2 linked regions of the Daphnia pulex genome follow. The protein of the gene in region 1 interacts with the protein of each later gene in a pairwise test. Links are inferred from orthologs where the notes say so. Each region holds a gene or a part of one and is shown in the gene's direction. Other genes may lie near its edges.

Region 1 (3,756 bases):
TTTGCTTGTGCTCTTCAGGGTAATTCGTTTCATTAATTCACGAACGATGGAATTGATTGATTTCCTGGGCAGACAAGTGCCACCATCTACCGATGGATAAAGACAACCAAAAAGTTGGTGAACTGATTGCTAGATGGCGTGGGCGTATTGGCCGATCGATCGATTTTCTCTTGTATTCACCAAAGAATGGTGGTTGGGGGGCTCTTTTTTTTTATGATTTGTTATTATGGTTTCCAAACCAAACAAGAATAAAAAGAAAAGCCCTTCTTTTTCTTCTGTTTTGTGTAGAATATAATACCGCACTCCCCGAAGATTATAACATCCATCAGAACTGGAAAATTGCTGTCGAGATCTATCAATTTTGGGCCGCTTCTTCCAACTATATTCCGTTGGTCGCACACATAGACAGACAGACAATCCCGGGACGATCCATAACGTTATTTCGTCTTGTTTTTCTTTCTGTCGTTTTGCTCGGGAAACTAAACAGTCGAATGGGACTGTGATTTAAAAAAGGGAGAAGAGAAAAGAAAATCAGATTTGCATACACAAATCAAGTCATCGTTTTTCGATTCTTTCTAGACACACAATCTTCTCGGTCGAATGGACGTTGTGTGTGTGTTGCCGCTGTTCCGTCATCCATAACAACACAAAGTCTAATTCGGAAATGTCAAAAAAGAAAAGTCTCTTATTTTTGGGTGGGTTATTTTTCATCGTCATACATTTTTATTCCGTGAATTATTTAGTACTGCTCTGCGCTGGCAGCCATATATACATGGGTATTAGTTGGGGTGGGCAATCAAGCCCCGCAGTAGTCCGTCTTGGGGTTTTTTGGAAGCCAACAACCGCGACCGGATTAGTTTTGAGGCCCACGTCGTCTAATCCTCTGGATCCTTTTTGTTATTTATTTATTTCCAAGAAAGAAAAAGTAAATAGGGAAACGATGTGGGCTGGTGGGTTTTTACAAAAGAAGTCTGTCGACCGACTGTTGCTGTTTTCTACTACCTAATCTGTCTATATGCAGAGACGTTGATGAATGGAAGGCGAAAGTGGATTTTCAAGAGCCACTGTCGATCGAGTAAGAGCTAGTCGGCGCCGGCGCCGCTATATAGACGCTGGGTCCGTTTTGTGTGTGTTGTACATACGAGTGAGGAGGAGAAGACCAGCATCAGCCGTTAGCAGATGTATTCGCCTCTTCCGTGGTGGTGGATGTTGTTGCCTTTCTCGTCGACAGGACGGCGGCCTCGAGTGATCTTGTACCCGGATAAAATTACAAAACAAAAAGCACCACGCAGGATTATTAGTATGTCCATCAGGGTCTATGAGTGATGTGATGGCTATCGAGAGGTCCCGGACGACAGGCCCCGGTTGGTGGCCATTATGATGGCCCTGTTCGGCTTACTTTGGCTAATGCGCATCCGAGCGGAAGTGAGAAAAGACAAAAGAAAACGGTCGTCCAATCATCCCGGATTGGACGAGCATCTATTACTGTTGCCTCCTCCAGTTTCATTCGCCGACTCTAAACAACAACAGCAACAACTACAAGACGAGGAGGACGTTGTTGACGACGATGTGATCCCTCCGCCGCCTCCGCCGCCTTTGAGGCAGAACGTGCAAATCCATCGCTCCTCTTCGTCCATCCATCGCGACAGTTTCCAGCGTTTCCAGCAACATTACCCCATCTCTCAGCAGCCTCCGAGATTCTTCCAACAAGCTCAATCCTTCTCCCGTTCCGCTCAAAACTTACCGCTAAGCACCTTGGAGTGCACTTGTCCGACGGGCGGCGGCCGCCCAGCTGTCCGCCGGCCGGCTGTCCGATTTTGTGACGATCCATTCGGATTCTACTCCGCTCGTGGCGCTCAAAGTTGGAATTATTCGACTCTGCCACGCAATCGGCCGACGTCTCGATCCGCGCATGGTTGGTTATTCGGAATTCAATTAAGCTCCGGCTACTAGGATTGGTTGGCGGCCATACCGACACACACACACACACAAAAGTTTTCCAACAATGGAACGTCGACGACGACGAAATTTCCTTGTTTTTGATTACTTTTCTAATTTAAAGATATTAAGTCGTTGGCGCGTGTTGAATTTGATTGTTATGTACCTCTCAATCTATTTCAAATTGAGCGCCATTTCCATTCCATTAATGCGGCTGTCAAAACTAATTCCACGTTTTCCCCGTTGTAAATAGACATTCAGGAATTTTACGAGTTGACGTTGCTGGACGAGACGAAAACGGTGCAACAAAAGACGGCCGAGACGCTGCAAATGGCAAGCAAATGGGAAACGGCTAATCAACAGTCAGGGCCGGCAGCCGTCATCATTCCGACGCGGTTCGGCGACAGCATTCAACAACAGTCGTCATCTTGCGTCACGGCCGCCTCGACGTCGTTCCCGATGGAGGTAAGAACCCAATACAACCTTCGTTTGAATTTATTCGCAACTGTGGCGGGAGTGGGTGGCGTGTATAAAAAGCCAAAAGAAAAATCATTTTTCATTTTTGATGAAGCGATGTGGGAAACGGAACTTGGCGAATCCATGAATAAGCTCAAATAAATCTCATCCGAGTGCGTGGCTTTCTTATTCGACTCTGGATGAAACGAAAAAAAGTTGTAGGAGAATTAGGCGAATCGCTCTAGGAAAAATGTATTCAACTTTTAAAGAGCATTTTTGGGAGCGTCGGCTTGTATCAAAAGCTCCGATCGATTTCCCGCCCTCGCCCCCCCCCCCCCAACACACACACAAACGCCATGTTGATTTTGATTTCGACATCAACAAACACCAGCAGCGCAAACGTTTTCCAAAGCTGATTGAAGCGTGTTGCGGGTCGACGAGCTGAACCAACAAGAGAGCCACGGGATTGGCCGTTGCCACCTTGTTGACTTACACGTTCTCCCTACCAGATCTGAAAATCGTTGAATTTAAAAAATCATTCGCTTTATTTACCCGCCGTTATTATTGATGAATTATTCGGAAAAGAAAAAATCAACAAACTGTTGAATTAAAAAATAAATTAAAACCAACTTGCAACACGGCCGTGTCATTATCGATTTAAAAATAAAGAAAAGTTGTTGGGACGCGGAGTTTGACGCAACGGTTCGTTGCTCAATTCAAATACCCCGCCAGCAAGAGTTTGAGGATGAGCGTTTGCTCGTCGTGAGTCTTCATCTTCAAACATAATGAGCGGCTGTTCATTGACGCCCAGACGAGCTTGAACTCACCCCGCCCGGGTATTGATCCTCCTTCCCTGTCAGTGCCCGGCGCTGCGTGCAATGACGTCAACTACCCCGTCGTCTTTTAAGTCGCCTACTAAATGGACTTGGTGGAGGACCAGTGAAGATAATTTAATTTTTGAATTTGTGTTATGTGGGACCAGCACGAGACCAGTCCCTTTCTCGAGAAAATTAGAAAAGAGAATCGCTAACCGCTTGATGAGAAATTGGCAAGTGCCCCCTACTTGTAGTGGGCGAGGGTGGAGAAGGCGAGTGGCGTTGCGTCACGCACTTACCGGCTTTGAAGAGAGACAATCACGTTTTATCGTCGGCCAATGAAATGTTATTCGAGTTAAATGCACTACGCTGGTTGAAGCTCATTTGAAGGAAACACGTTTTTACGAGGCTGGATCGCTGGATAAGGGTACGAATCTCTTTGGGTTGGCCACCATCACTATATACTCTACGTTTCGTTAGTGCGTAGCCCAAGGGCGCCAACTCTCTGTACACTGGATACCGTTGGGCGGATGGGCGGACGAGAGTG
Region 2 (3,750 bases), on another chromosome or scaffold:
CAATCTAATGCTACAATTTGATCAATACTATTCGTGAATAATCATGCCCTCATACAAACAACAATACAAACTTAGAAATTAAGTTGAGAACGTGTTATACAGGACTTATCACAAAGTTTATTAAACGGTGAATTTCAGAAACATGTTATATTCTCCAGATTATGTTTTAAAATGACATCATGGCCTTGGAAAAGAAAGTAACCTTTGAATTTTTTCCCTGACAAGAACAGAGGGAACCACAACTTATCATCAACCCACATATCATCAAAAGGAATGTCCGTAACATTAAACCATTTAGGTAACATCTCTTTATATGAAAAAAGAAGATGTAGGAAAACATAATTAAGTTTATTGACTAATTAACTCTGTCTAGTTTTTAGAGTAATTTACCTTCTGTTTCAAAAGGATGGCCTTCATATTTAGTTGAAGTAAATACGTGAACTTCCAAAATAACAGGATCCCCCACGAATTCAAAATTGATTAGGCCAATCTTTTCCAAATTTACAGGTAAGACAACAAGTCCACATTCCTCTCTCAATTCCCTATTTTTTCATTCACATAACTTTTTGCATTATAGGTAAAATCCCTTTTCAAATATTTTTCATCTCTCACCTAGCTGCTGCTTCGTAAATACCTTCCTTTGCTTCCACTTTCCCTCCGAAACCATTCCATTTGTTTACTCCAAATCCTCTCTTTTTATAACCAAGCAATACTTCATTTAGCTTTCTAATCAAAACTAATGTTAATACTTTACGGTTCATGCTGGATTGACTTCACAGTGCTTCACAGCAATTAACACAAGTACTGAAAGGCCTTTAAACATTACAGCTGATTACAGATTGAAACACAGAAAAGGAAAACAGGCGAAGGAGATATAACGACATCTATCGAGGTGTCGAAGAGTGAGGAACTTCTTGAAATAGCTTGAAATGGTAGAGTTTTCTTGGCCTTACTTATCAAAGTTGTTCATTTTTCCCCCTACGTAACCGTCGCTACGTACGCCTCTAGTAACGGAACGGTGTAGTCCGAATCGTCTGCTTCCAAATTTACCTCGCAAGTTTCATAATTCCATCCACGTGGAATTTTGCAAGATATTCGAAATAATTCTGGTTACAGTTTGAATTCACCATGTCTTGGCTTTTTGGATTAAGGAAGGACCCTAGTAGCACTGGCTCAGTACCACCCCCTGCCGAAAGTGGTGTAGACGACAATTCCAATACCGGTCAACCGCAAAATCAACAACCTCGTGGGAATGTTGGTGGAGCGCGGGCTTCAGATGCTTATAGATTTGACTCTTCGGCCTTAGAGAGAGCTGCACAAGCAGCTAAAGAATTGGAAAAATCTAGTAAGTTTGTATCAATATGTTGAATAAAACATTACTTAAAGTTTTGTTATTTAGAATTTGCCAGAGATGCTTTGGATTTGACAAAAGCTCAAGAACAAACAAGACAGCAAGAGCAAATAGCCAAAATCAAGGAGTATGAAGCACACATTGAACAATTAAAAGTTGATCAGAAACGTGTAGATCATGAAGAAAGAAGAAAAACTCTTCAAGAAGAAACAAAACAAAATCAACAAAGATCTCAATACCAGGATCAATTGGCTCGGAAGCGATATGAAGATCAATTATTGCAACAACAAAGAGCTAATGAAGAAAATTTGAGGAAACAAGAAGAAAGTGTTGCTAAGCAGGAAGCTTTGAGAAAACAAACTTTGGAGTATGAGATGGATCTTCGTTCAAAAACCGACATGAAGAGACTTGAAGCTGAAATGAGAGCAAAAGCCAAGGTTGACAGAGAGAATCAAGATCTATATCTGGAACAAATTCGTCTTAAAGGTACAGTAACTAAATTTTCATATTGTAATTCTATTTTAACATGTTTCATTTATTTTTTACAGCTTCTGAAAATCGTGCCACAGTCATGGAATCCATAAAAACTGCTGGTGCTGTTTTGGGAACTGGGTTCAATACTTTCCTTTCTGACTGGGATAAAATAGCTGCAGCAGCAGCTGGAATCTCACTACTTGCCCTTGGCATTTATTCTGCCAAAGGTGGTACTGGTGTAGTTGCTCGCTATATCGAGTCCCGAATCGGAAAGCCTTCTCTAGTTCGTGAAACATCGAGAGTAAACCTTGTTGATACAATTCGCCACCCTATCAAAACTATAAAGGCTATCAAGGTACTTCCAGTTAAACAGATTACATTTTAGATATGTGGAGTATTTATGGAAATGCTTTCAGGCTAAATCAGAAGATGCTTTGTCTGGAGTAGTTTTGGAGCCCAAGTTGGAGGAACGCTTGAGAGATATTGCAATCGCAACAAAAAATACTAAGCAAAATAAGTAAGCAGACATTTTTATCTTTATAATCATGTATAGCAACAAGCTGTTCCTGTTTATTTAATGTGTTTTTAAAGGGGTATGTTCCGGAACATTTTAATGCATGGACCGCCAGGAACTGGAAAAACTTTGTTCGCCAAAAAGCTAGCTAAACATAGTGGGCTCGATTATGCTATATTGACCGGCGGTGATATTTCACCGTTGGGTAGGGATGGCGTTACGGCTATACACAAAGGTTTGATTATTTTTTTATTTTTCTTGTAAGATCAAACTTGCTCATAGAAATATTTTCTTTCAGTTTTTGATTGGGCTAATGGCTCTCGACGAGGATTGCTTTTATTCGTTGATGAAGCAGACGCATTTTTACGGAAGAGATCTTCAGAAAAAATCAGTGAGGACTTGAGAGCTACACTAAACGCTTTTCTTTACCGTACCGGCGAGCAATCTAACAAGTACGTCCGTTGTCGTTTTAAGTTTTTTTTTTTTTTCAAAATAATTATATTCTTCTTTAAATCTTTAATTTCAGGTTCATGATGGTTTTGGCTTCCAATACTCCAGAACAATTTGATTGGGCAGTTAATGATCGATTAGATGAGATGGTAGAATTTATGCTTCCGGGATTGGAAGAGAGAGAACGACTGGTACAATTGTTATTACTATTTCGTTATCTGTCAAGTCTACAATTTTCAACTGTTAGGTTCGGCTCTATTTTGACAAGTTTATTTTACAACCGGCTGCAGAAGGAAAAAGACGGTTAAAAGTTGCACAGTTTGATTACGGTGCGTTATGCACTAAAATTGCCAGTGAAGTGAAAGGAATGTCAGGCCGTGAAATAGCTAAGCTCGGTGTAGCTTGGCAAGCATCTGCTTATGCGTCCTCTGATGGAATTCTTACCGAGAAAATGGTAATGGAGAAGGTTAAAGATGCCGTTCAGCAACATTGTCAGAAGGTCTGTACAATTTTTAATTGATTTGTTTTTAGTTATTGGTTACTTAATGTATGCTGTATGACAGGTTGAATGGCAAAGTGAAGAAGAAAGAGGAAATTTCAAAACTATTAGCGCTAAAAACAGGAGTTTTCTTTCCCAATCCGGAGTTGAAAAGTCAAAGAATAATTAGATTAAAAATTGGCCGTAGTAAATGATGAAATTTCTTGAACAAATGTGGCAATTACGACGCGTTACATTTTGCTTTGTTTGTCTTGTTGCTACTTTTGTTTGACAATATATTCCATACATTATGGATTATGGTCCATCGTTTCCTCTCCCAGAGTCAAATTTGTTTACCCGTAGTTACGTCATAGTTTTAATAAAAATAGTCGGATTCCCATGATGTGTTTAAAGTCTTCTTTTATGTATTGGTACTTTCATAAGCAGTTACATTGAAAATCTCAATCTTCGTAAAATCGTGGA

The links. The genes of interacting proteins can lie anywhere in the genome.
Region 2: the proteins of disks large 1 tumor suppressor protein-like (region 1) and ATPase family AAA domain-containing protein 3A homolog interact in a two-hybrid assay, tested with the Caenorhabditis elegans proteins (3 studies listed by BioGRID). The link is inferred for Daphnia pulex from reciprocal best matches to the Caenorhabditis elegans genes dlg-1 and atad-3.

Annotation. Positions count from the first base shown.
Region 1 is NC_060025.1:300,569-304,324, forward strand, and holds the start of disks large 1 tumor suppressor protein-like, read left to right. Parts: upstream 1-1,230; 5' UTR 1,231-1,377; coding exon 1,378-1,915; intron 1,916-2,191; coding exon 2,192-2,403; intron 2,404-3,756. UniProt on the Caenorhabditis elegans protein: Essential multidomain scaffolding protein required for normal development. Recruits channels, receptors and signaling molecules to discrete plasma membrane domains in polarized cells. Required for proper embryonic elongation.
Region 2 is NC_060023.1:4,564,575-4,568,324, reverse strand, and holds ATPase family AAA domain-containing protein 3A homolog, read left to right. Parts: upstream 1-939; 5' UTR 940-1,128; coding exon 1,129-1,345; intron 1,346-1,399; coding exon 1,400-1,837; intron 1,838-1,899; coding exon 1,900-2,180; intron 2,181-2,241; coding exon 2,242-2,342; intron 2,343-2,416; coding exon 2,417-2,574; intron 2,575-2,637; coding exon 2,638-2,791; intron 2,792-2,865; coding exon 2,866-2,980; intron 2,981-3,036; coding exon 3,037-3,288; intron 3,289-3,352; coding exon 3,353-3,457; 3' UTR 3,458-3,594; downstream 3,595-3,750. Other genes in the region: proteasome subunit beta type-6-like, read right to left, coding at 3,729-3,750. UniProt on the Caenorhabditis elegans protein: Essential for mitochondrial network organization, mitochondrial metabolism and cell growth at organism and cellular level. Important during development for the up-regulation of mitochondrial activity during the transition to higher larval stages.